Tamandua tetradactyla: one gene and its partners. The protein of the gene in region 2 purifies or fractionates together with the protein of the main gene of each other region. This does not show direct contact. Links are inferred from orthologs where the notes say so. Each region holds a gene or a part of one and is shown on either strand. Other genes may lie near its edges.

Evidence for each region. The genes of interacting proteins can lie anywhere in the genome.
Region 1: the proteins of MMS19 (region 2) and CIAO3 purify together in Homo sapiens (affinity purification with mass spectrometry; 3 studies listed by BioGRID and IntAct, with this or other methods). This does not show direct contact. The link is inferred for Tamandua tetradactyla from reciprocal best matches to the Homo sapiens genes MMS19 and CIAO3.
Region 3: the proteins of MMS19 (region 2) and PPAT purify together in Homo sapiens (affinity purification with mass spectrometry; 3 studies listed by BioGRID and IntAct, with this or other methods). This does not show direct contact. The link is inferred for Tamandua tetradactyla from reciprocal best matches to the Homo sapiens genes MMS19 and PPAT.

The regions. Positions count from the first base shown.
Region 1 is NC_135349.1:56,645,807-56,656,894, reverse strand, and holds the start of CIAO3 (cytosolic iron-sulfur assembly component 3), read right to left. Parts: upstream 4,454-11,088; 5' UTR 4,426-4,453; coding exon 4,360-4,425; intron 3,259-4,359; coding exon 3,163-3,258; intron 1,663-3,162; coding exon 1,519-1,662; intron 1,261-1,518; coding exon 1,131-1,260; intron 61-1,130; coding exon 1-60. Other genes in the region: mesothelin-like, read left to right, coding at 9,701-9,785, 10,143-10,186, 10,646-10,713, 11,039-11,088.
Region 2 is NC_135339.1:58,805,955-58,816,215, forward strand, and holds the start of MMS19 (MMS19 nucleotide excision repair protein homolog), read right to left. Parts: upstream 4,188-10,261; 5' UTR 3,984-4,187; coding exon 3,872-3,983; intron 1,181-3,871; exon of another isoform or gene 1,019-1,180; coding exon of another isoform or gene 937-1,018; intron 1-936. UniProt on the Homo sapiens protein: Key component of the cytosolic iron-sulfur protein assembly (CIA) complex, a multiprotein complex that mediates the incorporation of iron-sulfur cluster into apoproteins specifically involved in DNA metabolism and genomic integrity.
Region 3 is NC_135345.1:56,940,203-56,950,350, forward strand, and holds the start of PPAT (amidophosphoribosyltransferase), read right to left. Parts: upstream 4,454-10,148; 5' UTR 4,331-4,453; coding exon 4,203-4,330; intron 1,647-4,202; coding exon of another isoform or gene 1,510-1,646; intron 160-1,509; coding exon of another isoform or gene 94-159; intron 1-93. Other genes in the region: PAICS (bifunctional phosphoribosylaminoimidazole carboxylase/phosphoribosylaminoimidazole succinocarboxamide synthetase), read left to right, coding at 94-159, 1,510-1,646, 5,147-5,213. UniProt on the Homo sapiens protein: Catalyzes the formation of phosphoribosylamine from phosphoribosylpyrophosphate (PRPP) and glutamine.

The DNA of each region.
Region 1 (11,088 bases), on a different chromosome or scaffold from region 2:
GCTGGCTTTCGATGAGGCTGAAGTTCCTCGAGAAGGTGGTATCAAACACGTAGTGCACCCCTGGGAAGTGGCATCTAACTTGACCCATGAAGGGCAACCAGGACACAAGGCACCCCAACCCAGAGTCCACATCACTAGTGCCTCGGGCTCTGTGCCAGCCCTGAGAGGAGGTGCCAGAGGGGCTACCAGGAGGGGGGCTGCCAAGTGGGGGGGGGCTGCCAGGCGGGGGGGGCTGCCGGGTGGAGGGGGGCTGGTAGGTGGAGGGGGCTGGCGGGTGGAGGGGGCTGGCGGGTGGAAGGGCTGGCGGGTGGAGGGGGCTGGCGGGTGGAAGGGCTGGCGGGTGGAGGGGGCTGGCGGGTGGAGGGGCTGGCGGGTGGAGGGGCTGGCGGGTGAAGGGGGCTGGCGGGTGGAGGGGGCTGGCGGGTGGAGGGGGCTGGCGGGTAGAAGGGCTGGCGGGTAGAAGGGCTGGCGGGTGGAGGGGGCTGGCGGGTGGAAGGGCTGGCGGGTGGAGGGGGCTGGCGGGTAGAAGGGCTGGCGGGTGGAGGGGGCTGGCGGGTGGAAGGGCTGGCGGGTGGAGGGGGCTGGCGGGTGGAGGGGGCTGGCGGGTGGAGGGGCTGGCGGGTGGAGAGGGCTGGCGGGTGGAGGGGGCTGCCAAGTAGAGGGGCTGCCAAGTGGAGGGTGGCTGCCGGCAGAGGGGTGCTGGCCTGCCCTGAGAGCAGCCCAGGATGCCTAGGTTATGGGGCCCCTGCAGGTACTGAGCCCAGTGCTGCTGGGCCTACCAGGGACTCCCCTCCTTTATGTGGGCTCCTGGTCTACCTGGCAGCTGGCCACACCCTGCACAGTGCCCGAGACACCGGCAAATGCAATCATGTCAACTCAGTGCCCAGCTGGTCGTGTGCCCTGACGACAGCTGAAGAAGCACAGGGAGAGGGCGGGTCCAGCCCTGTCTCTCCTGCAGGGCTCTGCTTGTGAAACAGAGACTCCCAGCTGAGGTGAAAGCCAGGCTGAAGAGCTCTGGAGTCTACACTCAGAGCTGAGCACCCGTCAGTGGCGCAGGGGCCGGAGGAGCCCCCACCACGCCAGGCCTGGCCGCCCCAGCACAAGTTGCACACAGCCGGGCTCCAGCCTACCTATTTTCTTAAAGAATGCAGTTAATTTCTCTGCCGTGTCTGTTGGATTCAGCTGAAATCTCGCCGCCAAGGACGCTCTGGACTGCGGTGAGACAGAAACCACCACCAGTTTGTGCTGGGCAGGGGCTGCCTGGAAGGCAAGGGGATACATCCACTCGCACCCCGGGAGAAGACGCACCGTAGAGGGTACGCGTGGCGCCCTCGAGGCTCGTCATCGTTATTGTGCTGAAACCCCCACAGAGCGCCGACAGACAGCCCGCTGCGAGTCCCCCATAAGGCCCCGTGTGCCGGACACCCAGAAATGCGGGGCCTGCGTCCCTGACAAAGCAGCCATGGCGAGCAGGGCAGGGTCACGTGAAAGCAGAGTCTCAGACCATTTGCCACTTACCTTATTAGTCTCTAGAACTTTCCGTAGCTCTTCGTGGCTCTGCTGTGTGATCAGGATGCTCTCGGCCGAGGTGACGCAGCCGCTACATGCCAGGCAGTCATTCAGAGAGATCTTTGCCTTCTCCAGCTTCTGGGTCCCTCCGTCCTGCCAAGGGGCGAGAACCCAGTCCAGGAAACTCCTTTGCTCAGGGACACGAGTCCACAGGAAATCTTTATTCTCTTGCCTATAATGCTACTGACAGTGTGGGTGCTGGCTGGCTCTACGTACCGTGGAATTTTTGAAAATTAAATGTTTGTAACAGAACCATGTACGCATGTTCTAGATTTCCAGTTATTAAATCATAATGCGGCACAGGCTCAGCGAGCATGTCACATCACGTGGAATAAGGCTCGCTGCCCACTGAGGCCCCACTGGCAGGAAGGGCCACCTTGCCCATGGGATCCTGTACGGGCCACTGTGCCCAGGTAGCACACCCCTGGGGCTGAGGGACAAGGCTCCAAAAGGGAGGAAGACGGGGCAAGGGGTGAAAGAGAGACGGTGGGCGGGAGCCTCGGCAGAGGGGCAGCGGTGTGCAAGGGAACCCTGGGCACTGGCAGACTTGGCGAGTGGGACTCTGCCAGCTTATGGAGGGGCAATGGTGCCAAGGGAACAAAAGACACGAAACGATCCCAGCCAGGGCCCTGTGCAGGTCCAGGAATGGTTGGAGCCGGGACCCGGCAGGCTGCAGGGCTGTGTGCAAACCCACGGAGGCCCCCAGCCAGGTCCTCAGCCTGGTCAGCCCCTTGCGGCAAAGCCGCAACCTCAAGTCGCACTTGCTGAGGGCCCCAAGGCCCACGCGGGGCAGCTGCGCTGAGTGGGCCTCTCCACGCTCCCTCCATGTCTGGGTCCCCAACCCAGGAACAAGCTGTGTGGATAGCAGGGCCCAGCAGCTCCTCCCCTGGCCCTTCCACTTTGTTCACGGGGACCCCTCATGAGCTGTCTCTTACATCAATGGGACTTGGTCCCCCAGACTGGCCCAGGGTGGGGCAGGCGCCCCTGTGCGGCAGGTCACCCTCCTGCACCAAGGAAACAGCCGTCTCTCTCCCTATAGGTGTGGGCGTTTGCTGCCGTTCTTTACTGGAGACCCCTCCATCTCCACAGCCCCCCACCCCCCCGGGGAGGGCCCCTCGACCAGGGCCCTGGTCCTCGGCTGGGCCGAATACCGCAGCACACCCAGCTCCTGCGGTCCCAGGGTTGCCACAGGTATCCCCCAAAATCCAAACAGTCAGGGTTTGAGTTTGTCATTCCTTGATTATAGAGAGAGTAGGTGTTCTGTGAGAACCACAGTCTGAACTGGAAATTTTTATGCAACTAGAACTCAGAGAGATGGAGGAAGCCAGGAGCCACCCCCTGGCCAGGAGTTCCCGCCGCAGCACCTTGCTCAGCCTGGGTGTCCCCTGTGCTCTGTGCTCCGCCTCCACCCCCAGCTTCTGTCCCACATCCTCGCAGCCCCGTTGTCCCCACCGCTTAGTAAATCTGACAGTGAGAAAGGACCAGCAAGCTGGGGAAATACCCACAGTCACTGCCCCTGTGACTGGGTGAGGTAGAGAAAATCACATTTCCGGTCACTTGGGCTGGAAACAGGGTGAAGCCCATGTTTCTTACTTGATTAATTTGGAAGTAACTGCCATCATCATCGATGTGAATCTTGGCCACACCGCTTCCTGCCCGCTTGTCCACCTTCACAGGCTTGATGCATTCCTAATCAGAAGAGACCCAAACCAGGGGTCTATGAGCTGAGGGGCCCAGGGAAGAGGGCGGAGCCTTCCCCAGGTCACCACACGGCCGGCTGTCCCACCACCCCACAGATGAGGGCCCTGCCCTGCCACACAGTTGTGAGTGTCAGCCACCTGCCCGAGTCTCATGCTGGGCACGCTTTTCTAGCATCCTGCTGTTCCCAAAAGTCACCCATGGGTCACTGGCTGTCAGGAAGGCCAGTGCTAACTGCACCTACAAAGCAACTCCATCCAGAAACAAACCACCGGCCCTGACCTTTGCCCTTTCCAAGCACAAACAGGAGATGGGGTCACCTGGCTGCTGGGAGGAAGTCAAGGGTTCAACAGGGACTTCTGGCCTGAAAACCTTTGGAGGGCCTTGACGCAAAGTTTACTCTTCTGTCCCTCCCTCTGAGTTCTGGCTCCCTCATTTTTATGTGAGAACTGTGCCAGCCACTACCTCCCCCAAGGTGACCAGCTCCAGAGAGCCCAGGCAGGCGGCCTGTCCGGGTCACCCCTGCCCACCAGCTGCACCCTCCCCCAAGCCCCTCCCAGCTGCTGGTGTCACAGGCAGACACACTCAGATAAGGTCGCACCAGCTCCCGTCCTCCTGGGGCCCCTGGTCCTCTTTGGGTCACACCGTGACCTTTGCTGCACGACCACGGTGCTCCCGCCCGTCCCCCAACAGGAGGGTGGCCGCAGTGCCTGTGTACCTGTGAGCACACTGACTAAGGGATTCAGGGTCCCCACCCCACCCCGGCCCGCGCCCCCCAGCTGGGTGCTACTCCCTGCGGCGGCACTTCCCGGCCGGCCCGAAGCCAGCGTGGTGACAGGCCCTGTCCTGTCCTCACCACCCACCACAGGCCAGACCCCAAACCGGCCGTCCTGGACGCCCTGGACACAGTCACGGTGGTGGGAAAATGTCCTTTTGGCCTTGAGTTCCCTGTCGTAAGAAGAGGGCCAGGGCGCCGAGGCCCGAGCGAGGGTCCCTGCAGGCCCCGAGGGCAGGGTCGCTGGGTTTCCCAGGGGCATACGGTGGGGCGGAGGGTTCGGGACTCTCACCCTCGCCCGGCCCGCCCCGGCCCACCTGAGACGGCGCGATGAAGTCGTCCAGGTCCGTCAGCTGCAGCGCCCCACTAAAGAGAGACGCCATGGCGGCCACACTGCCGCCAGGTGCCTCGCGAGAGTGTCGCCAAACGGCGCGAAAAGACGAGGTGGTTCCGCCACGCTGCCGGAAAGCGCCCCACCTGGCGCATGCGTGCCTCGCCCCCGCCGACGGGCGCCCGGAGCGGTGTGCGCCCTCTGCTGGCGGGCCGAGTGCGGCGACTCTGCTCGCGGAACCGGACCCTGGCGCGCCCCGGGACGCGTGGTCCGGGCAGTGGGGCGGAGAGGGCAGCGCCGGGCCGGGAGCCTCCGCCTTCACAGCGAGGCTCGGGCTTCCCCACCTCGTTCGCTCGCCCGGCCTTTACCTGCTGGCCAGGTGCCAGGTCCCCAGGTGTGGGAGCTGGGGACAGCGTCCCTTCTGCCTGCTGTCCATGCAGCCCCGGAAGCCGCAGCAGCGCCGGACACCGAGTGGGCCCCCGTGTGTGATGAGAGCGGTTCAGGGCGCGTGAACAGCGCGGGGCCCAGGAGCAAGGGCTTGCATCCCGGGCTCCCTGCAGCGCCCCGGCTATGGGGTCCCTGATGGTCGCGGGGGTCCCTCCCGGAGCGCCAAGCTCTCCTTCTGTTATTTTCCGGGCGGTGGGAGCCAGCTCGATTTCCCTGTGAGATTTCCTTTTCCTGTATGCTGTATGGCGGGGTCACATGCCACGTGAGAATCCTGTTCCTGCAGCACCATGTGTTGACTTTTTTCGTTCGTTTGCTCATTTGTGTTTGGGGAGTGCATGGACTAGGAATGGGACCCTGGTCTCCCGCATAGCAGGCAAGAATCCTACCACTGAGCTACCCTCACAACTCCTTCCCTGTGAGGTTTTATAACCCCAGACAGGACTTCTGCCTTCCTCGTGCCCTGATAAATCCCACTGACGGACGCCTCCCGCCATCCCCCCAAACACCGGCCTGTTCTCTATCGGCTGAGTGAAACAGGCCGTGGGCTCTTTGTTCCAACACAGTAAATCCATTCCCAGGTTCCCACCTGCTTGAGCCTTTGCTTCTTAAAGTTTGTGTTGTGGTAACATGTGCACAACACAAAGCTTCCTATCTTAACCACTTTCAAGCATCCACGCCCCATCATGCCGCATCCCGCGTCCACTGCCACGCGCTGCGGCTAACAGACCAGTGTTTGGGGGGATGGAGGGAGGGGTCCGTCAGTGGGATTTATCAGGGCACCTTCCATGGGCAGTCCCTGCCCCGTGGCCCCGCTCCTGCTTTCTGTCTCTAGGAATTTGCTTACTCTAAATATTTCCTGGGAGAGAAAGCAAATTTATTCTGTTATGTCTGGCCCTGCAAATGGATTTGAGTCAAGATTTGTCCACGTGCAGCGTGCATCAGAACTCCGGCCACGTTTTGGCTAAGCGGCACGCCATCACTCGGACCACATGGTGAAACATGTGTCGTCACCACCCGGGCTGCTTCTGCTCCCGGCACCTGTGCCCAAACCGCAGGTCAGGGCCCCGTTTCTGCTGGGGCAGCGGGCCCGCCCTCCATGCTTGGGACCCCGTCCTGCCCCTCTCCCGGGCCCCAGAACCCTGTCCAGTCGGGCCTGGGCCTGCCACCGCCGCACCAGCTCCTCAGGGCCGGGAGACCGCCAAGCCCCCCCACCTTCAGGGGCGCTACCTGGCCAAGGTGTGCAGTGTGGCACCTGAATCTGAACTGTGCCATGACTATTAGGGACACACGGACGCAGACAGAGACTTTGTCTCGTTGAAATGCTATGGAGTGAGTTTACAAAAAAGCGTGTGTGGGATTGGGGGTGGGTGGGGGTCTGGTTGGCTGGGCCAGGGACCAAAGATGAGGTGGGGCACCCCAGGACGGGCCCACCTGGTGTGTGTGGGGGGCAGGTTCCCACGGAGCCAGGGGTGGGGGGAGCCTGGGGCAGGAGGAGCAGGGTGGCGCCCATCACTCTTTTCCCCAGAAACCGAGTCTGTAAAAGCAAACGCAGGGTGAGTGAGCCGGGCCGCCACGCCCCTGCAGCTCCACACCCCCAGCCAGGCAGCGGCCAGCAGTGGCCAGCGGCAGCCCCGCCACCCCGAAGGCGGCCAGCAACATCGGGGCCCATCTTTGGTTCAGAAAATCCGACCGGGCCGTTTCTGCCCACACATACACACATGCATGCCCACACACACACACGGTTGCACAGGCACACGTGCACACACACACGTGCTCGCACAGGCACACACCTGCTCGCATATGCACACACGCGCATACACAGTGCTCACACATGCACACACCTGCTCGCACATGCACACACGCACACACACGCAGCCCCAGGCCTTCCACCTATGCAGCCCCTTCCCTGGAGAGCCCAGGCTCTTGGCTACTTCACATTCGTATTTTGCAAATTGTTTCATCATCATCATTAGTGAATATTTACCGCCTGCTTCCCGGGTGCTGGGCTTGGGGCCAGAGCTGCGAGGGGGTGGGGACTGTGCGGGGCCACTTTCCCTGAGCCGCCGCCAGCGCCCTCGGGCCCCTGCTACACATGCCCTGGGACCCACGCTGGTCCAGAGCGGGCTGCCCGGCCCTCGTGGGGGCTTTGTGGAGCTGTGCTGACAAAGCAGCCACGAAACGGCAGCCCCGAGCGTGGGGACGCGTGGAGTTCTGACACCTGTGTGGCCAGGTCCTCTTCTGTCCTCTCCCGACCCTGTTCTGGCCAGTGTCCCTGTCCCTCCCTGTCCCCGGCTGTCTGCCCCCTCACGGGCTCCACGTCCCCGTAAGGCCGGGCCCCTGTCCTCTCCTTTCTCCCGAGGACCTCCTGTTAGATTTAGGGCCCCGCCAGGCATCTCAAGAGCCTTCCGTGCAGCTGCAAAGACCCTTTTCCCAAATGGGGTCACTCCCCCAGGGAGACAGATCCATCCACCCCTGCAGCCCCCTGACGTCTGAGACGGGCTCTGTGTTGTGCCGAGGGGGTCTGCGTGCTCCCGGCAGGGCCACCGGGGAGTCCGCATGCGGGGTGCAGATGGGCAGGCGCGTGGGGTGCCGGCACCTGGGCAGGAGGCGCTGCCCTCCCCGAGTGGCCTTCGTGGGGGAGGCACGGCCGTCAGCACATCATTAGCAGCCACTCCCCAGGGGCACCCCATCTTGTCAACAGGTGTAATCTCCGGGCACCCCAGAGGCTGCTCGGGTGCAATTAGCCACTAATGAGGCCTGCGGTCACCCGGTGCAGGGGTGAGGAGCGATGGCTGTCGGGGTCCCCCCTCCGTCCCCAGCCAGGCAAGCCAAAGGGGGCACCAAAGGGCCGTCATGGGGCTGCAGCGGCCGCACGTGTCGGGGGGGCGCACAGGGCCCCGGGGGCAGAGCAGCACCCAGCCTGGGCCCCTCGCATGCTGTCGAGGGCAGGACCTATAGATCTTGGGGTACAAGCAGGTTGTCCGGGGGCCCCCAGTACCCCCTCGACCCGTGTACACAGTCCAGGAGGCCCTGAGCTGCCTTCTCACCCCCGTTCCGTACTCAGCCCACCGGACTGACAAGGGGCGCTGGGGCAGAGCCTTGGGACCCCGGGGGGTCTGGGGTCCCGTCCGCTCTCCTGCCCCCTGGGGCACAGGGCCCAAGGAGCAAGGTGACCTGAGGTCCTCCCCATGTCCCTTCCATGCCCCCCAGCCCCCCCCAACACCGCTTCCTCTGGCCTGAGCCCCAGAAAGGGAAGGTGGAGCTACCAGAGACCCTGGGGTCCAAGCAGTGGGACGTTCGCCCTGCCCGGGGCCACGGCAGCCCCCGCGCACCCCAACTTGGTGACCTGAGCCTTGTGGGGTGACGCCCCGTTTCCCCAGGGTCTGCTCTACCCGCCGAGCCACGGGGGACGGGGGCCCTGGCTGTGACCCCACAGTGCCCCAAGGGGCCTTGGTCTGTTTGTGGGTGGCGGCCCCGGGGTTGTCCCCCACCTGGCTCCCACCCACATCAGGGGACGGCCTCTCTCGGCACTGGGTTCACCCCGCGCATTCCTGCAGCCTGAGTTGGTCACTTGGCCCAGCCTGCCCTCCCAGGGCCCGGGGCTGGGGGCGAGGAGAGGACCCTGCCCGGAAGCAGCCGGCACCTGCTCCAGCAGGCTCCTCCTGGACCCCAGGCCCAACTAGGGAGCAAAGGGGCAGCTGTGCCCGGGCGGTGGGGTGGGAGGATCCCGGGGTCGCCCTGTCCCGGCTCCGGGTGGCTCGTGGGGGCTGAGCGTGGCCGGGGGGTTCCGGTCCCACTTCACCCGCAAAGCCAGGATGGGGCTGCCAGAGGCTGCTCGCCAGCCTGGGCTCCGGGAATGCAGATTCCAGGGCCCACCATGCGCCCCGGTCTCTGCGGGGCAGGTGTGGGAGCCGGGTGGCTTGGGGGCACCCTTATCTGGCCCCCTGGGAGTCTTTGGTGGCCGCTGCTAGGTATCAGGAGCTGGGCACAGGGTCCCTGGGTCTCGAGGGGCTGGGGACGGTGGTCCCAGGTCCCCCTGGGTTCTGGCCTGGAGGTCAGCTTCTCTGCACTCGGGGCCTGGGGTGCAGGTGCCGTCCCCAGGGGCTGCCCTGTGCCCAAGCCATGTGGGTGGCACCGGCCCAGACCTCTCGACTGAAGAGGCCACTGGGGAGTGAAAACACCCCCCTCCCAAGCCCGGGGAGGGGACAGGTAGGCCGGGGTGCAGGCCGGGGTGCCTCTGCTTCCCCAGGCTCAGGTGCCCACCCCTTGCCCTCCCTGCAGGTAGCCCTCACCCCAGAGAGCACGTGAGGTTCCCCAAGGTGGCTGCTGGGTCTGGCCACTGTCCCCCATGTCTGAGGTTGCCCAGGGCTCACAGGTGGAAGATGCCCCCAGCCCCTCCCCCGAGGGGGGCCCCAGGGCAGTGGCCCCCACCCCGCCCCGGGCACTGCCTGCCTGGCGGGATTCTGGGTTCGAAGGAAGCGCCTGTGGGGGGTAGAGAGGGGACCGTGTAGCCTCAGCGCCCCTGATGCAGGCAGGGAAACCGAGGCAGCCCGCGCGGGAGGTCGCCCTCCTCGGGTTGAATCGGGTGACAGGGTGGGTGGGGCCGTGCGGCAGGGCCTCGCAGCTGGGGGCCGCGGTGAGTCAGGTCTTAACCCCGGCCGGGCTGCAGCTTCCTGGAAAGGGCGGGCGGGGCCGGGGAGGCTCGAGCTGCTCAGACTCTGTCCACGCGCCTGCCCAGGTAGCACCTGTGTCCCCCTGGGGGCCCTGGGACCTCTGCGGCCCCCCAAGACCCCGGGCCGGCCTGGGGAGGCGCGGGGGTGTGGGGGCGAATCTCACCCTGCCGGGGGCAGGGTCTTCAGGGTCGCCGACCTCCACAGGCCATGGCCCTCCAGACTGCACGACTTGCCCCGGGGCCCCACACGACCCCCGCCCCCTGCAGCCTTCTCCTCCTCCTTCTCAGCCTCGGTGAGTTGTGGGTGCTGTGCTGCAGGACTTGGGGAGACCCCAGCCTCCCCGTTCCCACCACGGCTTCCCCCAGCACGGGCAGGTGGCTGGGTTGGGCAGTGACGGGCTCAGACCAAGTGGGGATGTCTGTGGGGCAGTTGTCTGCCCCCCTGAGCAGCTGAGTCACAGGAAAGGACATGGAGGCGGGGGGGGGCGGTTTGTGACTTCAGGGACTCAGGGACTTTAACTCTTTACTTCTGTTCCCTGCGGGGTGTACACAGGGCGGGAGACCAGGCCTAGCCCCATCCTCCCTACCAGGGCAGCTGCCCCTGGAAGCCCCTGGCCCTTCCTTGGGACTCACACCCCCTCCCCCTGCAGGGTGGGCATTGTCTCTGGCAGCCCCGGCTGAAGAGACAGGACAGGTAAGGGTCCCCCCAAGGGCATGGTGGGGGGCTTCCCAGGCCTGGGAGGGGGTCCCAGCTGTGCATGGCGATGGGGGATGTCAGCACGTCCACATGCAAGCAGGTGCCCACGCAGCCACATGGGGATATATAACTAGCTGTGCACTCCAGTTTCCAAAATACCCACTTGCATAGGTGCAGCTGGGTCTGAGGGGTATGGCTGGGTTCAGAGTAGCTGGGCCCAGGGAGTAGCAGAGCCCAATGTGTAGCTGGATGCAAGAGTAGCTGGATCCAGGAATAGCCACCCGTGGGTCTAAGTCATAGAAAGGCCTGAAAAGTAGCTGGACTGAGGGAGCTGCTAGGCCCTAGGAGTAGCTGGGCCCTGGGAGTAGCTGGGGTTTGAAGTAGCTGAGTCCATGGTGGAGCTGGACAGAGAAAGACCTGCCCTGGGGGAGCTGGGCTTGTGCCTACAATTCCCAGGGGCCCTGTGCTCCCCAGGAGGCTGTGCCTTTTGACGGAGCTGTGACCACCACATCTGACTTTACAAGGTGGGTTTGGGACTTCGTGCCCATAGTGGGCAAGTGGCTTGAGGGATGACCGGCTCTCCCGGCCTCCTTGAGCACAGGCAGGCTGGAGGCCAGGCGCACGGGGCGTCCTTCCTGATGCCAAGCCCCTAAGCCCTTGTCCCTGCCATGCCTGTCACCCTTCTCCTTTTGCCCTACTTGGATCTGGCCCCCTTGGGAAGGCCTTGGGGAAACCGAGGCAAGGTCTCTGCACCTCGGCTACACTGTTGGGTTGAGGGCTCTGCAGATGCGGGGTTTCGGGTGGTGGCGTGGGAGAGGGCCGCTGGCAGTCAACCCTGGCCTCCCCCAGCCTGTCCCCACGCCACCTGCGGGGCCTCACCTGTGCCTCCGTGTCGCGGC
Region 2 (10,261 bases):
TCCCTCTCCTTCAAGCTGTATACCTCAAGCCCCACTGATTCTTCCTTCAACATCTCTCATTCCATTCACTTAAGTACTTTTTATTTTGTACCTACTTATAGCAGTCTCTGGTGGTAAGAATGGGAAGTTAGGATATGGAGCTGTGTACAGAAATAGATACTAAACAGGTCTTCTAATAAGTATACAAGAGGTTAAGAAACAAGTACAACACAAATTCTGAAGGGTGCCATGGTGTCTGACTGGGGTAATCAGGAAACGCTTTAGCATCTATTGGTGGTGGAGGGCAATCAAGCTGGGTCTAACTTTAATTAGATGGAGCTAGTGGAGGGAACTGGGAAGGAAAACGCTTAAGAAAAGTAATGGTGGGTGACAGCAACTAAAAGGTCCAGAAGGGGAAGGTGAGAACAAAGGCTGAGGACCTGCAGTACAGTCTCTGAGACCTTTAACTCTTAGGCTGCCAAGTCATATCGCTTCCATCACTTGTACCTTTTTGCCATCTGACTCCTATTTTTTTTTAAATTTTTATTAATAAAACCAATCAACATACAATATGAACATAGTTGTATATTCATCATCACGATCATTTCTTAGAACATTTGCATCAATTCAGAAAAAGAAATAAAAAGAAAACAGAAAAAAAGTCATACATACCATACCCCTTACCCCTCCCCAATCACCAGCATTTCAATCTACTAAATTTATTTTAATATTTGTTCCCCATCATCTACTTATTTTTAATCCATATGTTTTACTCATCTGTCCATAACATAGATAAAAGCATCAGACACAAGATTTTCACAATCACACAATCACACTGCGAAAGCTATACCATTATACAATCATCTTCAAGAAACAAGGCTACTGGAATACAGCTCTACATTTTCAGGCAGTTCCCTCCAACCTCTGTTATGCATTAACTAAAAAGGTGATACCTACTTAATGCGTAAGAATAACTTCCAGGATAACCTCTCAAGTCTGTTTGGAATCTCTCAGCCATTGACACTTTATTTTGTCTCATTTCTGTCCTCCCCCTTTCGATCGAGAAGGTTTTCCCAATCCCTTGATACTGAGTCCCAGCTCATTCTAGGATTTCTGTCCCACGTTGCCAGGAAGGTCCACACCCCTGGGAGTCCGTCCCACATAGAGAGGGGGAGGGCAGTGAGTTTGCTTCTCCTGTTGGCTGAGAGAGAGAGAGGCCACATCTGAGCAACAAAAGGGGTTCTCTTGGGGTGACTCTTAGGCCTAATTTTAAGTAGGTTTAGCCTATCCTTTGCAGGGTTAAGTTCATATGAATAAACCCTAAGATTGGGGGCTCAGCCTATTGCTTTGGTTGTCCCCACTGCTTGTGAGAATATCAAGAATTCTCCAATTGGGGAAGCTGAACTTTCCCCCTTTCTTACCATTCCCCCAAGGGGACTCTGCAAATACTTTTTGATTCACTGTTCAAATCCTTCTGGGATTTATTGAGGCATCACTCTGGACAAACCTACAAAATCTCATGCTCTACTCAAGGTTCCATGTACTCAATTAAGCTGTCCACATAAGTTATACTAGGAAATGCATTACTGACTCCTATTTTTACCAAGAACCCACCAGGTTCTTGACAAAGACAAAATTGGTAGTAGCTGCCTTTGTGAGGAGGGGATGTTTCTTTTGCTTTTACTATTGTAGGAAACTCTGCTGCTATGAGTGGCTAAAAAGGAAGCACTAACAAAGCCTGACAGGCTGGAGGATTAGAAAGCACATCTTATTCTGAGGATGCTTCAAAACTGTCAGCCTTCAATAACCCTAAAAAGGGCAGTGATCTAAGATTGAGAATACCAATTTAAACCTCTAAACTTATCTTCTTTATACGGCTTCTTTGCTCAAGGATCTACAACCGCTATTCCTACAACAGGTCATTTAAATACCTCTGATTGGGATCCAATGTTATGCATAATTCAATCCCATCAAACACCAAACATTTCAACTTTATCTGTTACTTCTCCTCGTACCAACCTTCTTCATTTAGTCAGGAGACCAAAAGTACAACAGGCTTAGTAGTTACTGAGTTTTGGCTGGGCTGAGCTTGTTTTAAAGTAGACAATAGTTTAGGTCATTTTTTTCAGACAATAACAAAAAAAAATTTATAAACACGTAAAACTTGGCAGTCTCTTATCAGATTGTAGTCTCAGTATATTTTGAACCTGAAAAATCCAAAAGTATTGTTTCATAATATATAAATGTGAAAGAAAAATTTTAAATGACACTGGTATAATGTTTTATGTTGACAAGGGTTTGGATTGCATTTTTTAAAGCAACGAATGTTCACTTAAGGTATGTGTTCTTAATTGGATATAAATGTTTCACCTAAAGAGAAAGAAACTGTAAACAAATACTGAACTCTAATGATATGCAGGCTTAAGTATTTAGGGGTAAGCGTATGGATATCTGCAACTTAAATGGATGGATAAGTGATCAATCAAGTATATTAAAATGTTAATGGCAAAAAAGAGTTAATAGCAGGATCTAGGTGATGAGTGTATGTGGGCTCCTTATAAAATTCTTTAGACTTTGCTTATGTTTGAAAAAATTCACAATAAAACACTTGGAAAAATGACACTGGCACATATTGTACTCGTTAACACTGTCAACACTGATAACTCACTAAATTTATTGTAAGAAGTCAAGCTTCGTGGAATGGCAGAAGGGGGCATTTGTTCTCTGATGCTTCCATAGCATCTGAATACACCTCCTAGAACCCTTTTTATGGTCGACTGTGTTCGTAGTTGTCTCTCCCACCGCAGTATAAGTTTCTGAAGGGCACCAATCTGAACTGATTTATAGCTATATTCCTATTGCTTTGCATCATTTGAAGAATAACGTGTTCAGTAACGGTGGAACGAATGAATGAAAGCAGAATACTGCTAAGAACCAAAGCATTACATTTTTAGCAGACGCAATTTATTCATTTCTCACGTATTCTAAAAGTTAGTATCTCAGTTTTCAAGAGAAGCAATGTTCTTTACTTCTCCCCAGACATGCAAAATTTCCAAAAAATACCTTTAAAATACAAACTTACGGATACCTACAATATTATTTTGTATTCTGTGACTTATGCCTGAGGTCTGAAGGCCTCCTAACATTCAGTAACGCTTTGGTAGATAAATTTTCTTCTACAAAAGCACAGTATTAAAATTCCAAAGACACCTAATATTATTTGATTCAAATCTTAGGAAGCTGTCAGAACCAAGAGATTGCTGAACTGGTCATAAGCAGGTACTGGAAATGTAAGAAAAGATAAAACCACACTGCACATGAAAAACTTGAGAAGCAAATTAATCAAGAACTTTACGAAGAAACAGAGGGAGGACACTGAACATCTCAAACTGTGCCTAGAACGCCTTCCCTCCTCTCCCTCCAATTACAGCCAGTCGGTGGCCGGCGCCGCCCCGCCGCTCCCAAGATTCCACGCGACTGGTGCTGATGCCGCTGAAGCTGCATTTTCTCACGTCTACCTCCTAGATACAACGTGGTTTCCCCGTGAGAGCATCCGATGCCGAGTTCCAGCTCCCCGACCTGCCTGATCTGTGACACTCCGCAAGTCTCTTCTCGCTGTAACTCAGTTTCCTCATCTGTAAAATGGTAATGATTATCCTAACCCCGCCTCTCCTGCACAGAAGATGGTTACGGAAGACGAGGAGTGTAAAAGCGCTTTAAGGAAGATGCAAATAACTTTCAATTTTGGTACGGCTCTTAAGCACCCGGTGCTCCTGGGGACAGTCTCTCACAGTCACCTCTATCCCTCACTCTTCCCGCCCGACCCCCTGTGTGGAGGCCGCTCCCTCCTCTTGGACCCCATGCGGAAGCCGCGCGGCGCCGTCTGCCATACCTGCAGCCACCTGGTCAGCAGACCCCTCCTGCTGACCCACGACAAAGTCGTGCACGAGGTCCCACAGGGCGCCCGTAGGCGCCACTGCCTCCAAAGCGGTGGCGGCGGCCATGACACGAACTAGTGACCGTAGGAGGGGAAGTAGGTGGTGGCACGAAACAAGACTCTCCGCGCATGTGCTTCATGAGCCAATCGCTTGGCGAAGACTTAGGGGGCGGAGCGCTCCGCGGATCACGTGCCCGCCGGCTCCTCGCCTGGCAGTTCCAGGGAGGGTGGGGCGGCCCCTCCCCGAGGGGCGGGGCCTGAAGTAGGGGCGCTGGCGCGGGGAGTGCGACGGGTGCTGGGCACGCAGCGGGGGCCATTGAGGGCGCATAATTCCCGGCCCGGTTCCCGTGGAGACGGGCGACTGGGCGGGCACCTGGCTGGGTGGGGCCGAGGGGCGGTATGCACCCTGCGGGAAGCCAATGAAAAAATCAGGCCCGGCCCAAGGAGGCGGTGCCGTCGGTCACATGCGCACCTGGGGCGGGCGGTGGCGGTGCGGGCACTGCGAGCAGGCGGAAAGGAGCGGGGCCGGGCTGGGGCGGGGTTAGACAGGTGAGTGACAGGCTCCGGGGGGCCGGCCCCAGCTGGGAGCCCCGAGCGAGCTCCGAGTAGCTGCGGCGGTGCCCGCCCCCTCTCTCCGCCTCTACAGCGGAGCTGGTCTCCCGCCGGGCACCGTCGTGGGCCCCCCTGGCCCGGCCACCTGGTGGACTGTGCTGGGGAGTCGTCCCCCTCCTCTACCTTCGCCCGCAAAGTTTGTGGCGAAGCCGGCGCTGGGTCAGAGTGCACCCCCGGGGGGGAAATCGGGGTGCGCCCGATGCCGGGCGGCAGGAGCCGTTGACCTGGGACGCCGCGGTCCGGGGCAGGAGCGCGGAGCAGCCGTCCACCCACCCCCCCGCCTCCGGTGGATGGGGCCCGGCTGAGGAGCCAGCATGGGCAACTGCGTGGGGAGACAGCGCCGGGAGAGGCCGGCCGCCCCGGGACACCCCCGCAAACGAGCAGGTAATGACAGGGAAGGGAGCAGAGCAACGGGCACCTTGCCAGTTGTCCCCCCTTCTTACTGGAGCCCTGGACTTCCCGAGAGACCACTCCCGGCGCCTGGCGCTTGGGAATCCCCCGATGGCTGCTCGGGAGCGGGACGGGGGCCTCCTCCCCAGTCCTGGATGGCCGGGGGAGCTGAGTTGGGGCAACTGCGAGCGCTGACCCGGCTGCGAGACCGACTCGCTCCAACTGGGAAGCTCCTGGTGGGGGTGGGGGCAGGAAATGTTTGCAGACCGCAGCGGGGCGGACGGAGGGGGGAGGACCCCGGGCGAGGGCGCCGCTGGCCTGGCAGCCCGGGCCGGGGTCTGACGCCGGCCGGTTGGGGCACGGCGCGGGCAGCCAGGCGTCCCCAGAACTCGGAGCGAGCGAGACGAGCTCAGTCGATCCTTCCAAAGACTGTTATTATCGGGCTGCATATCGTGCTGCCCGAATCCGACTTGCAAAAGCAGCGCAGGGCTCTGGGAAGGAAATCTTTATTTTTCCTGCAGGGTTTTTAGAGTCTCCCGGCCGTCTGGGAATCTAGGAAAGGTGGAGTGAGGTGGGGGTGAGAATTTCTCCCTCGGGTTTGTTGGGATTCTTCCCAGCCTTTGGTATGGGGATCTCTTCGCGATTCGGGAGGGCCGGGTAGCGCCTTCTCACTTTCTCGGTACACCCCTCCTCCTATCCTGGCGCTTTGCCCCGGACACTCACTTCCTTCTCTGAGGATGTTGCAAGGATCTTCTGAGAATGATAAAATAGTAGACTTAGAAATTTGTCTAGATTCCAGATAGACCTACTTCCTCCTCCCTATCCAAAAACACAAATCCAGAGAGATTGAGCAACTTGCCCAAAGCCACACAGCTAATACAAATTGGGCCCAATTGCTACATATCCCTTTCTGTAAGAGGAATCACTGGCCTGAAGTTGTTAATGAAGTGGAAACTCTAGTTGCAGTTTCCTGCCTCTCTTTGACCCGTAGGTGTGTTACTGTGTTGTGGAACCTGGGAAGGAGAATGGAGTGAAGGGGGGGTGGACCTGAGGAAGAAGGGAAGGATGTCTATGTAGTGGACCGGATGACATATGGAAGGAAGAAATGTGTTTTTATAGGAAGGATAAGGTAAAACTTAAGATCGGAATCTTCTTATAGGAAGGCATCCCTAATCATTCTTCTGAGCAAAGTTAATTCTCAAACCCAAGGGACTTTCATTCATTCTTTCAATTTATTATTTATGTGCTTTCAATTTATTATTTATTTAATCAGTCCTAATAATTGATTTCATTGTATTTTTCACTGCTGACAGCCTCCCCTCCTTGAAACTTTCTTCTCCCTTCCCTTCTTAGCATTATTTTGGTTTTCCTCTTTGATTACTCCTACCTACCAAGCATCTCCTAGGTGGGTACACTCATGGTTAAGTTTCACATTGTTTTTTCTCTCTTTATACTCCCTCCCAGAGAAATCGTATTTGGTTCCATAATTGCTTTCCCCCTGTGCTATATATTCAGCTGTTACCTGTCTCTTGAACCCCATACCCACATCTCTAAATGGCTGCTGGACACTGATCTAGATATCCTCAGATTCAGCACCACTAGAGCCAAGCTCTGTATCTCTTCCCCCTTAATCTGTTTCCCTTCCTTACCCTTACATTCTCTGAGCTACGTAATTATACCTTGAAAAACTCCCCCACTGACTGTCTTTGTCTCCTAGCCAGCTAGTCACTGCTGACTCTTCCTTTCATGTGAGTTACAAACCTGCCCCTTCCCACTCTACTGCAAGGTCCTGTCACCTCGAGTCCTGCTTCTCTCCCAGTCTGAAGTCAGTTACCCACCAAAGGCAAGTTCATCTTCACTCACTCATCCGAAGCAGAGTGTCTATACCTAGAAGTTCCCCCAAAAGTAGTTTGTTAAATTGACCTATTCCAAACCCTGTAATTAATTTTATGTTGAAAAATCTTTCTGCATCTCCCTATTGTTTACAATAATCTAAACTTTTAAGGATATGTCTGACCCAGTCCTTCCTTTTGGGACCTGATTTCTTTCTCTTCCTTAACATTAAGGTCACCAGCTTGTACTTGTTTCATTTCCCCACCTCATCTTATCAAGAGTCGTTCTCCCCTTCATGGTCTACCCCAAATCCCTTATCTTTCTTGAAGCACCTTCCCTAACAAATCTCCTCCCACATCCAGTGGAAGAGATTGCTTCTTCTAAGAACTCCTGCAGATACATTATCTATGCTACTTACTGTATAATAATCTACTCCATATTACTGGTTATGTGGGTTTCTTTTTTAGCTGTGAAAAATAACATATATACAAAGAAAAGCAATAAATTTACCAGTGCATTTTAACAAGTAGTTATAGAAAAGATTTTAAAGTTTGGTATTTTTTTCATTTTTTCTTCTAGTTGCTCCAAGACACTGAAGACCAAAAGAAATATCAATATATTGATTCACCAGTCATATTCATTTGTTAAATCCTATCTTCCTTATTTTTCTCTTCCTTCTCTTTTTTTATAAAAAAAAATAGCATATATGTAAAAACAAAGCAATAAATTTCAAAGTACATCACAACAATTAGTTGTAGAACAGATTTCAGAGTTTGGTATGGGTTACAGTTCCACAATTTTAGGTTTTAAGTTGTTGGTCAGGTTTTTAATGTTTACATTCTTATACCAGCAACTACACTGCAAGCCTTGAAACCTGAATTCTGTCTTATTCTGGTGTGTCTCTGTTCCTCTTTCTCAGTCACTTACTCAAATAGTCATATACACACATACACATACGTATACATAGCATTTAGCACAATAACTTGTACAGAGAAAGCCCTCAATAATTGTTGAATTTAGAAAGCTAAACCTGACTTCATCCTACATCTGTATTTTTCATGTAAATATTTTACTGAAGTATTTATCTGCATTTTAAAATCTGTTGGTATATTATTATTTCACTTATGTGGATCTTACTATGAATAGCTTTATTCATAAAGTCCAAATCAAAGGGGGCACTCTAAGGTGACAGAAGTTTGGGTATAAAGAAGAAATCCTTAACGTCACAGTATGCACCTGGCATTTTTGTAACATCTGCAACTTACCCTTTGAGAAGGACATAATTTTAAGTTGAAGTTTAATTCTAGATTGTCTAAAACTCCTCTAGTTAACACTTATGACTCTGACCTTTCCTTTACCACTAGTAAATGGGAAGAAACCCTCAAAAGGGAGATAGAACTTACGTTCCAGTCTTCAGCTTGTTGCTGAGGGACCCTGGGAAGTCATCAAATCTCTCTGGATCACTTTCAATATCTTGGAAAGGGAGGGGGTTTTATAAGATCATTTTTTCACCTTCACAAAGGCAGCTGTCCAAAACTAGAATGGATTGAGTTGGAATCTTATGACTTTTACAGTCACCCTTTGGCCTTAGTTTTGTCTTCTTAATTATTTGACAGGAGAAGCAGAGTTACAACGCCCAGTGATTATGGAGTCTTGTATTAGGTGGAAGGATTAGGTGGCCCTTGCATGCCTTAGAGAATACTTGGGGAGTTACTCCTTTTGGTGGGGTGGGGGGGTGGGAGGGAGTGTCTCTACCACCTCATACACATACCCTGGGTAGATCACTATCTCTGCCCATGAACTGGGTGAAACAGCCCTTCAGCCAACCAGCTAGGGGAGAAATAGAGGTGGTAAAACAGCAAGTCTCTTGCCCAGCTCCACCCTTTGAGTGTGTGGCAGGGCTGAAACCCAAATATCTGACTCTCTGATGTGCCAGGCATATCCACTTACATTCTGGAATCCCAAGCTTGGGGGTGGACAGTCCCTGAGCTCTGTTTTGGACTGGTTGGGCTTGGCACTGTGATTGCAAGGAAGTCTTCTCGTGTGTGGGCCATGGTAGCTATTCTTGAGGGATTAATCGGGCAACTTCTCCATTTGCTGAGTAAATATTTACTGAATGCCAGAGACACCAAGCTGGCTGTGAACAGACATGGTCCTTGACTACATGGAGCTTACAGTTTAGGAGGACAAATGATAAACACAGTCATATAAATTATGCATGGTTATACATATAAATCTTGTCTTATTAGACATACAATTACATATGATTATATATGCCAGTAACTCCACATTTATAGTTTCAGCCCACTCTCTCCAACTCCAAGCCTTGTACATTCTGCTTCCTACTCAACACATCTAATATAAAGGCTTTTCAGTTTAGCATGTCTGGAAACAATTCCTCAACCTCCCCTGCTCTTCACAAACTCTTTCCCATCTTAATGGTGATTTGATCTTTCCAATTACCCAGACCCCCAAAAGGCTAGATTCATTTATGACTCCTCCTTCTCTGTTACAACCCACATCCCATTTGATCAATAAATCCTGTTGACTTTACCTTCTAAATATGTCCAGAACCTGACTGCTTCTTACAATCTCCACCACTTTCACTCTGACCTAAGCTACCATCGGCCTCTTGCCTGATCTTCCTGCTTCCTCCCTTGTCTCTCAACAAGGCTATTTTCAACGTAGCAGTCAGAAAGATGCCGTAAACTCGAAGTTGGTTTTTATTACTCTTTTGCTCAACCCTTCGTGTGACTCCCCATCTTTTTCAAAGTCCTTGTGTTGACTTACATGACATGATATGATTCTCACCCGTTTACCTTCTTACTACATCTCTTACTCTTCATCCACTTGTTCTACCCACTGATATCTGAATGGTTCCCTCCCTGTGGTCCTCCAAGTCTCCTCAAATGTCCCTTCTCAGTCAAGCCTCCTAGGGCTTTGATTTAATGGGGCCTGCTATTTAAAATCCTTTCCCTTCCCTCCACCACCTGCTCTGAGCATTACCCACCTCCCTTCCCCGTTTCATCTTTCCCCATAGCCCTTATCATCTTCTGACACTGGTTGTCTGTCCCTACTCTGTGCAGTCAGAGATATTTGTTTATTCACTCCCTGGTACCTAGAGCAATGCCTGGCATATAGTAGGTCCTTAATAAATAAGTGTTGGATGAAATCAGGTGTATCACAGTGTAGGTGAGAACTGTTGAAGAGCAGGAATGAGCAGACCTGATTGATCTCTTGCTTACATCAGTGTTAGGGCAGGTATCCTAATGAAGGGATTTGAGCCACAACCTCAGAGTGGTGTTCTTTTCCTGGGAGTGGCTTCTCCCTCACCCCCAGCCTAGGTATGGTCTCAAACCTCTGTGGTTTGGGAGCCTCTTACTAAGAGTTACCTGAGCTGAAGAGTGGAGCGAAGCCCCCTATTATGGTTCTAACCCAGCAGTTGTGTTTTCTTGTCATTTTATTTGTGCAGCTATGTTAGAGAGGACCCCATTTCTAGTCACACGTGGT
Region 3 (10,148 bases), on a different chromosome or scaffold from region 2:
TCCAATTGTTTAAATGTTCTCACTTGAGTATACTTGAACTAATATATTTCAAATGATGTCGTATAATGGTTCTTTTCCTATGTTTGTTTTAAGAATTATTTGAAGATCATACCAAAAACCCAGGTACTTTGAGAATCAAGAGAAAAGCACATGAAGATGGTAAGAGCCTGAGAAATGCCAAGTTTTGCCACATTGAGAAAAACTTCTGTATCTTTTACTGATAAGAGATGCTTACTCTTGTCCTTGACAAATGAGACTAGATATATTGCTTATGAACTGTGTGAAAGCATACAATCCTGAGAAATGGTTTATCTTATAGCTTATTAAGAATGAAAGTGATAGTTAATGGAAACTTTCTGAGTCAGAAATAAATTTCTGCACAACTATGCATTTATCATGAGCCTTTAAATTACATTTTATAGTAATTGCCATCTGTTCTAGTTTGCTAGCTGCTGGAATGCAGTATACCAGAAATGGAATGGCTTTTTCTCTACTGGCTTCCTTTCATGAAACATCCCGGGAGGCATTTTCCTTCTTCATTTTATTTGGTCGCTGGCTGGTGGACTCTCTGCTTCCTGTTGCTATGTCATTCTCTGCTCTCTCAGACTCTCCTTTTCTCCAAAAAGTTTCCTCTTTTATAGGATTCCAGTAAACTAATCAAGACCCACCCAGAATGGGTAGAGACACATCTCCACCTAATCCAGTTTAATAACCATTCTTGATTGAGTCACATCTCCAGGGAGATAATCTAATTAAAGTTTCAGGTATATGGTACTGAATAGGGATTAGAAGAAACGGTTGCTCCCACAAGGCTGATTAGGATTAAAACATGGTTTTTTTAGGGTACATAAACCTTTTCAAACCAGCACACCTTCAGAAGTTTGGGATATAAAAGGGAAAATCCCATAAACTAATAAGCACTGAATTTTGGTTTTCTCTAAGTTAGTAATGAGTACAATATTTTACTAAGTTTACAGATAAACTAAACCCCAAAGTCAACATAATTATGTGAGCTATAACTCTAAATTTATGTATCATCACACCACAGAAGAGGTAAGGAAATGTTACTCAGCAGTATAGAAGAAAAAAGAACTAGATTGAGAATCAGTTCCCCTCTGTATCTCCAGGATAATCAAATTTTAGCATTTTTTAGATATTAGTAAACACAAAGTGAAGCATTCAACAAAATTTCATAAAGTGAGCACACTCATGTAATCACCACCCAAATCACTGACAAAGATTACAAAACAAACTGAATTAAAACTCTAAAAATCAACAATTGGAACAATTATCATGGGCAGTTATTAAAAAGGAAGATATCCTCAGCCTTAATTTGACACCCCAAAAGCAAGTTTTCTGAGAACCCACTCCCATGTTCTCTAAAACACTAAATGAATGAAAATAACTGGAAACTAATCCCACAGAGGTTTTTTTTTTATCTGAGTGCATCTTTCTGTCTCTTTCTCACAGGTGTTTCTCTAGTGACGATTTCATGTACTCTTTTTGCAGAATCAGTGTCTGTGTCTCGTAAGAAAATTGCTCCTGAGATCATTGCAAATCAGTTTCCTCAAGTCGTAACAGAACCAAAAGATTCTACTGGAAGTTTCTGCAGACAGGAAACCCAGTACACGACCCAACTGTATGAGGTAAATAGCCAATTTTAACCTAGAAGACATATGAAAATGGTCATCAGTTGCAGGGTTCAATTCCTAATACAGAGAAGAGATCCATTCACTAATAGGACCGGTATTCTTATCTTCTAACCAAGGAAAACTAGGTGATTGATAGGATAAATCTGAAAGATTTTGTAATTCTTTTTATGGAATCTTCAAACCTAGTCAAACTAGGTCATTCTAGTCTCCATACAAAGTGGCTGTGGCTTAATGATGAAACTGTCTGATCTACAGGAGGTGTCCAGTTTGTTCATGTTCAAAACTCTGCAAAACACTGAGCTGATGTTTTCAGGGCCAAAAATTAGCAGTTGGTGATTATATGAATGTGGTATGCCGCCCCCCCCCCCCCCACACACACACACAGCTAGAAGCAGATAAGAGAACAACTAGTTAGTTTAACCTGAAAATGTAAAGCTAAAATTTCTAGTGACAGAAAGTAGAGCTGTCAAATCTATAAATAGTCGGAAAGCTACTAAAAAGCAATAGTTCTGGCTGAACCCATCTGGATTAAGTATTGTAGCACATGTCGTGTAATTATCACCCTTTTGTATTTTATATGAAACATTTAATATTACAACTTTCAGGTATCGTTTTCCCTGAGACTGATATTTTTTTTTCTATTGGATCATGCATAAGACAAAGACACAAATACAATGCAAAAGTGATAGAAATTCCCTCCTTCTCATTTCCATGTTTTAGGAAGATAATGCATTAACAGGCTAATTCCTTCATAACAAAAACAATCATACCTTGTTTTAAGACTAACCATTAAGCTAATGGGGGTGAAATAGGCTTTTCTGCAACAAAACACCACCTGTTAAAATGTAAAATGTATATAATTCTACAGTAAATTAAGAAATGATAACCTATGCAGGCTTCCAATTTTGATTCAATGTCATATAAAGACTTAGTTCTTAATCTCTTTGTGGCCCCTGCTGTTTAGAACAGCAGATTTTATCTTATACACATGAGGGAGTTTCCCTCTTCATCCAAAATCATGAATTGTTTTTGATTTGTGGGAAGAACCAGTTCTCTATGTGTAGCTTAATGATTCCAGGACTGCATAATGGAAATCTTAAAAAGCTAATAGTTTTTTTGGGCACTGTTGTTGAGATACCACAGGATGAATTTACAATGCCAGTTTCTCAACCATGAGCAGCTTAAGAGAATCCTTTCAGTATTGCTCTACTGCCAGATAATCACATCATTATTGCTCTTATCTTGTATTATCTAACCTCAATTTTAAAACCCATTATAACCTACAAACCAAGGATTTTCCTAAGCTGAGTATAGAATTCCAATTAGTGGCAACAGCTAACTAAAAAAAAAGAAAACTAGCTCCTTTTTCTACAGGTACAGATTTAAATGGGAGAAATTATTGGGAATGAAAAGAACTTTCTGAGTAATTTTTTTAAAAAAGCAAATATAGTTGAGAAAAGAGTTAAAAGGTCAGTTCATATATTTTCCAAACCAGGCAACTCTACACATCACTTTCTTTTGTACACCACCCCTGCCCCTCATGGCAGAATCCAGAATAACTTTTCTTAAGAATGTTATAAACTATTTAAATTGCTTACTAGTTACTCTTGACTACCACATAAATGGATCAAGATTTCTATTATGGTCAACTCAATTATCCAAGATTAGAGTTAATTGAGTTTTAAAAGTTTCTGAATTATTCTCAGCTCTTAGTAAAAAATACTCAAAATGCAAAACTCAAATTCAAGTATTTAGAACTCTGAAAACAGCAACAAGACTACTTTTAAGTTTGGTAAGGGAAAGCTAATCATTTGTAATGCTGATAAGTATTTTCAGTTCTTCAACGTTCTAGAAGTTGCTACTGTATTGTCTTAGAGAAACTTTTTAATACTTTTATGTCAAACCTAGGGCTATATTTTTCACTGCAATAATTAATCGGAATTGTTTATATCAACTTCCAGTTAGGTCAGGTAATAAGAAATGGAAAGATAATGGGAAGCAAAATTATTTTTTTGAACACAAAGGGGTCGCCTGATTTTTCAAAGTCAACATACAAAAGGACTCCTCCCCCCCTTTTTATAGACGGGAGCTAATTTTTAGGCATCTTCTAACTACTAACTTTTTCACTATCTAAAAAGTGTTGTAGAATCTGCATCTGCCATCACTCCATACAAGCCTAAGGCAGAAGTAGCTCCAGACGCTGGGAGATAAGAACCCGCAAATTGCTGGGAAGTACATGGTCCCTGCTAGCCCAAGCAGACAGAAGCATTACAAACTGAGAGGTGCACAAAAGGAGGGCGGGGAGGCCCGAACCCCTAAATAGCATTAGAGGTGGGGAGCAGGGCAAGCTGCCAGGGTGGCAACGTAGCCTTCGAGAGCTCCTGGTAACTCAGAGGATGCTAAAGGCATGTACCAGTCTCCCCACCCCGAGGCGCGTGCGAGGTCGCCAAGTCAGGCCGCGGGAAGAGGCTTGAGTAGATGTAGAAAGCACACATGCCGCCATCCCCACTCCGCATCCGTTCAGCCTCCATCTCCCACGCTGTTGCTTACCTGTGCTGCAGACCCACAAGTCCCAAGACAATCACATGCGGCACATCTAGCTGCGAGGGCCACTCTCCTGAGGCGATGCAGCCAAATACGCCACATTCCTCTCGAATCCCCAACTCCTCCAGCTCCATGTCGCCGCGAAAAGCACGTGGAAGGACCTGCCGTCCAGGCCCAGGTTCAAGCGCCAACCAGCAGTCCCCTCGGCCGGTGCGTACCAAACGATCACGACAGCGGCTTCCTTCCCAGAGACTAGACCCTAGCTACTGCGGCGAAGACTAGCGCGTCCTCCCGCCTCCCCCGTCCCGCCCCTCCAGGTCGACCAATGAGCGGAGGCGCAGGGGGAGGCTCCCGGGCCCAGAGGTGGAGTCATAGATTCTGTGGGGTGGAGTCAGTCCTCCGCAGGAGATGTTAAAGAAGATACATTTTCTGCATGTGAAAATCTTTGTTATTTTCCATGATCCATAATATGGCTGATGAGGACAGCGGAGATTTCGTAATTTCTCTACCAGAAGATGTAAACCTTGTATATCCTTTTTCAGATGCTTTTCCCTAGCCGTTACCACTTGGTATGCTCCAACCTATGATCCTTTCTGGTACACCAAGAAGGGGTCCCAGTGAGCGAGCTTTGTGGGGTGGGGCGGGGCTGCAAGCGCGCGCCACTTTATCTGTTTCCTGGAACAGCACGCGCGCTGCGCCGGGGGCAGTCTGGAGGCGGAGTCGCGTCCCTGCGCCTGCGCTGCGGGTAGCCTCCTGGGTAGCGGTTTCTCCCGAAGTTGAACTGCACCTCCGTCTACGGATACCCTCTGGGTTTGACTGCCGCTCCTGTGTTCTAAGTGAGCACTTGTGGGCGCGCCTTGATACGTGGCGGGGAAACACGCGTGGGGGCTGCGCCTCCTTTCCCTTACCCTTGCTGATCTCTCCTTTTTTTTTTTTTTTTTTTAAATCAGGTTCCTGGCTCTGTTTCTAGTGCAGTTGCTCCCCGCAGCCCACTCAGAATAATGGCGACAGCTGACGGTAAGCAACAGGCGTTGAGGTCCAGCGGGGACTGCTAGGTCCCGCCACCCCCTCCCTGCCCCCAGCGCTTTCCCGGATGCCAGCTTTCAATTCTCCGGCTCTGTGCAGATGTGCGTGGGCCCCGCGGGCCCCACAGCAGCCATCCGGGACCAGGGTCCGGCATCTTGGTGGGTGCGCGGGGCGGGAGGACACGTGGCTCATGCACGGTGGAGACGGCGCCACTCAGCACTGCCTTCGGTATAGGGGAAAAGTAGCAGAATAGAGAAGGGGTAATTAGCACGAGAGGTGGCCAGGCGTTGGAGAAGAACGGGGAAATCACATTTGTAAGTAATAATTAAAAACTATTTTGCAAAATGATCTTATGAAAAGTTAGTGTGACCCTTGAAACCAAGTCTTACTTCTCTTTTGTTACTAGTTGAACCTTCTTTCCGAATCTTTCTGTCTGGATTGTGGCTTTTTTTTTCCTTTTTTGAAATAGATTTTGATGCTGTGATGGCTTTGCCCCAAACTCCTAGGCCAAAAAAAATTCTTGTTGCACTTTAAGTTTATTATATTTACTTGTCGCTAGTCATTTTGTCCCTGAGTGGTCAGACCCTAAGGAAAGGTAGTTCTTGCCATTTATGATGAGACAACGTTGGTTTTCCCACACATCTTTTTCCAAATAGAAAACTTCAATTTAGATCAAAAGGACCCAACGGGGTCCTGTGCTGGCAGCTACCGGGCATGGGTCAGGATGTGTGCAACTATGGGAAGTTCAGTTACCACAATTGTCTACAGACGAGAGAACCTAAAGGACATTAACAATGGATGGAATTGGGAGAGTTATCAAAAAGATACCATCACGCCTGATGGTGTAACAGATTTTAAAAAAATCTTTCTTTAAGAAGAAAGTTCTTAAGCAACATGATGGATTCAGAAGCCCATGAAAAGAGGCCACCAATCATAGTATCTTCAAGATATATCACCTCATAGTACAAATGTTTGTGAAATGAATCATTACTTATGTGGGTGCTATGCAGCTTTCAACACTTTTCCTATTCAAAAGGTCCACTTTCAGCAACGACTATATGGAATCAAAACCCAGAATGCAATACTTCAGTTGAGGAGGGATGGATTCCAAAACTTGCATTATGGAATCCTTCCCCCACTAATGCAGAAGACAACTGCACTGGCCTATGTGTTTGGTCTGTATGAGGATATTACTTTTTTTCTCTGTAAATATGTTAGTACCCCATGACTCCAAAGTTTGTAACTCAGAGCATAGCATGGCAGCCGTACTTGCAGGGACAACAGAAGCAATTTTCACTCCATTTGAAAGAGTTCAAACATTGCTTCAAGACTACAAGCATCATGACAAACTTATAAACATGTATTAAACTTTCAGGTCACAGAAATCCCATGAAATTGGAGAGTATTATCAAATTTGGGTGCCCAATCTTTTCTGTAATGGATTCAGCATAGTCATTTTTTTGGCCTTCAAGGTCTTATTAAGGACTATTTACCTACTGCAACTACTCATAGTGCTCATTTGGTCAATGATTTTATCTGTGAAAGGCTATTGGGTGCTATGTTGGGATTCTTGTTTTTTCCACTTAACGTTGTAAAGACTCACATGCAGTCACTGATTGGTGGGGAATGTCAGTCTTTCCCTAAGATTTTCCGAAAAATCAGGCTAGGCAACTGACAAACTTTTTCAGAGGTGCCCATCTGAATTACCATCTGTCCTTTGTGTTTTGAGGCATAATCATTGTGACTTATGAGTTCATGTTAAAGGTTATATAAAAGAATCATTGGTTAAGTGTTGTTTATCAACCAAATAAACTTAAGAAGAATGCAGTTCGGCCTGATTACTGATTGGCCACATACCAGTTGGTATCTTAAGTTCAGGGTACAGTGAACTGTGGGCAGAACTGTTTGAGTACTACCACAACAAAATAAGTTTCCAATAGGAAAATTAAAGTTTTGGGTTTTTTTCATCTTTACCAAGAGCTTTAAGCTAATGGTCTGATTAACAGTTGTGTGTCTGATGGCGTTTGACAAGAAGCCCCTAGTCAAGATGATTCTATTTTGCCTGCGATGCCAGAGGACTCGGGTTCGATTCCGGTGCCTGCCCATTTAAAAAAAAAAAAAAGATGATTCTTTTTCCCAAAACACTCTGTCCTTCTGTAATGAATTGTAAGTGGCTAGTGAGAAGCCAGAGAAAAGGCTTTCAACGCTCCATGACTTCTTAGGCTTCTGTAACCCATTTTTTGCTTCTGTGTTCTTCAGAGATGTTGCAAAGGATAGGGATAGTCTTCACATATACAGTGCAACATAAGAAAACAACTTATTAGGTATAGACTTTTCATGGTAAGTCGCTTATATTAGTTCTGAAAATAAGCAACTATTGAAATATCTTGACTGCTTTTATTTAGACATGATAGAATAAAGTAGCTGATGAAAGATACTATTTTGCTTTCTGAGTTAGAAAGGTTTCCGTTTCATTCAGAATATGACCTTAAACCCTTCTAAAATGCCCTTATATTGATTTCATTTATTTTATTGCCCAAAAGGTGGGGGCTTAAATTTTGTTATAGGCATTTGATCCTGTTAAGTTTCATATTAATTGCATATAGATCAAACTCTGGTTAGCTATGCCAAGAGGCTTTGATTGGTATTTTTTTTCCTTGAAAAGTAGTTTGTCATATTTAAGTAGTATCCAATGAAAACACATCCATAAATTTTTTATTGTAGAAGTCTGTTATTAATAAACAGCCCAGTTTTTTATTTGTTTTTCTACTTTCTAAATGTTATGGGGGAAAAAAGCACAAAATAGCTTCCACCTCACAGAATTAGCTATCTTTTTATGTTATTCTTGGAATAGATGATTTTAGGATTTCTTGATATTTTGGGAATCCAAGTTTACAATTCTGTTATTAAAATAATCAGAGTCTGAAAGCATCAAATTTACTGGAAGAGTTCTTTTCAATATTGGGAGTTGGTAATAGCCAGGTGGCACACATACTCCATAACGGATAAAAATGTATTTGTCAGAATTTTTAGAGTATTTTTCAAGATGAAAAGGCAAAATGACTCATACAATTATTAGATAAATAATAAAATGTGTGAAATATCCTGGAGAAAAGAGTTATCACTTCTTAAAAAAATCCACCTCTATAAATGTTGTATAGTTAGGAGTATTTTCTGGCATCTGACATGGCATAGAGAACTTAGACTTCTTATGAGTTTTTCAACATTCTAGATAACTGCATATAAATGTGTAAATATACCCACCCAAATAAAATCAGGGCCTCAATAGCTTACTCACATTATCAGCATATAGTCCAAAAAAAGCTGTTTACCCCTAAATGCAGTATTTTCCAACTACAAAGGATTAAGAAACAGTATCAAGCATTTGTCTGGCTGTAAAGAAGCTAAATGGCTTTACAACAGCTCTGTTTAAATAAAAGTGTCATGCTAAAAACGGCAGTTTATTTTTGAAACCAAGATGCGGATTTAGAGATTTCTGAAAACAAAAGTTTGTTACCAAATAAATCTGAATAGCATCCTTTGCCCTATTAGAATGAGGATTTGAAAGGAGTTGAGTTTAAGAAATAAATGAGGAAGGCACTGTGGTTCCCAACTCCCTTCTTCATACCTGTGTGTCAGATCATGTGCAGGCATTTCTGGGTGGCCCAGTACATGCAGTGAATTAGCTGGAGGTGATGCCTGACCTTGGGAATGAACTCCACTGGGCCTTGGTTCTGTGGGCTTCCTTTATTTCTTTTTTTGTTGGCCATCATCTTTTTAGAAAACTTTCATTATAGGGATGTATAAAACACAAAATTTCTGATTTTAGCCTTTTTTTATGTGTATACTTCAGGTATTATATTCACAACGCTGTGTTGCGATCACCACCATCCATTACCAAAACTTCATCACTCTGCAGTACTTCCTTTTTTCTTTAAAGTCCCCAGATTATAGAAATCTAAATTTTAAAGTACTTTCAAGAAATACAAGAGAATTCTAAAGAGAATGCTTTGATTTCTACTGTCTAAAATATATTGCATTTTGGGCAGGCCATCGTGGCTGAATGGCAGAGTTCTCGGCTGCCATGCTGGAGACCTGGGTTTGACTCCCAGTGCCTGCCCATGTTAAAAAATAATAATAGGGCGGGCCGCGGTGGCTCAGCGGGCAAAGTGCTTGCCTGCTATGCCGGAGGACCTCGGTTCGATTCCCGGCCCCAGCCCATGTAACAAAAAACGGAAAAACAAAATACAATAAAACAAGAAAATGTTTAAAAATGTTTCCCTTTCTTCCTTCCTTCCTTCCTTCTATCCTTCCTTCCTTCTCTCTGTCTTTCCTTTAAAAAAAAAAAAAAAAAAAAAATAATAATAATAATAATAATTAAAATATATGGCATTAAAAAAGATTAGCGTTTAATTTTTTTTTAACTCCTATAGTATTTTTCTATTTCCTTGTCACTTTTTACTTCTTTGAAGATCTCACTGCAAATAATTACCAGGAATGGTTTTGTGTATCTTGTAGACTCCTTAAATTTAACAAAAGACTGAACAGAAGTTATAGTGGCCAAATGCTTTGTCTGAACTTTAAAATACATTGTTATGTGTTAAAAGTAAGAGATTCTAGCAATTGCTTTTACCTTTAATATGAACTAGTATAATAATTTTGAAAGGGCAAACTTGATTGAATAACATCATCTGAAACTGGCCTTTCTGCTACATATGTGGCACAGATGGTACAGGACACTTTGGGTTTTGCTTCCTATGCTTCATATCTAATGCTAACAGAAATATATATGGGTTCTGTATTTAACACAGAGGTGATATGAGCCCTCAGGACTGCACTAAACACAACGTTTATATGGTGACGAATTTGTATGTCTTATTTGTCTCATTTATGGGTGGGACAAAGTTGGTGTTTTTGTCTAAGTAT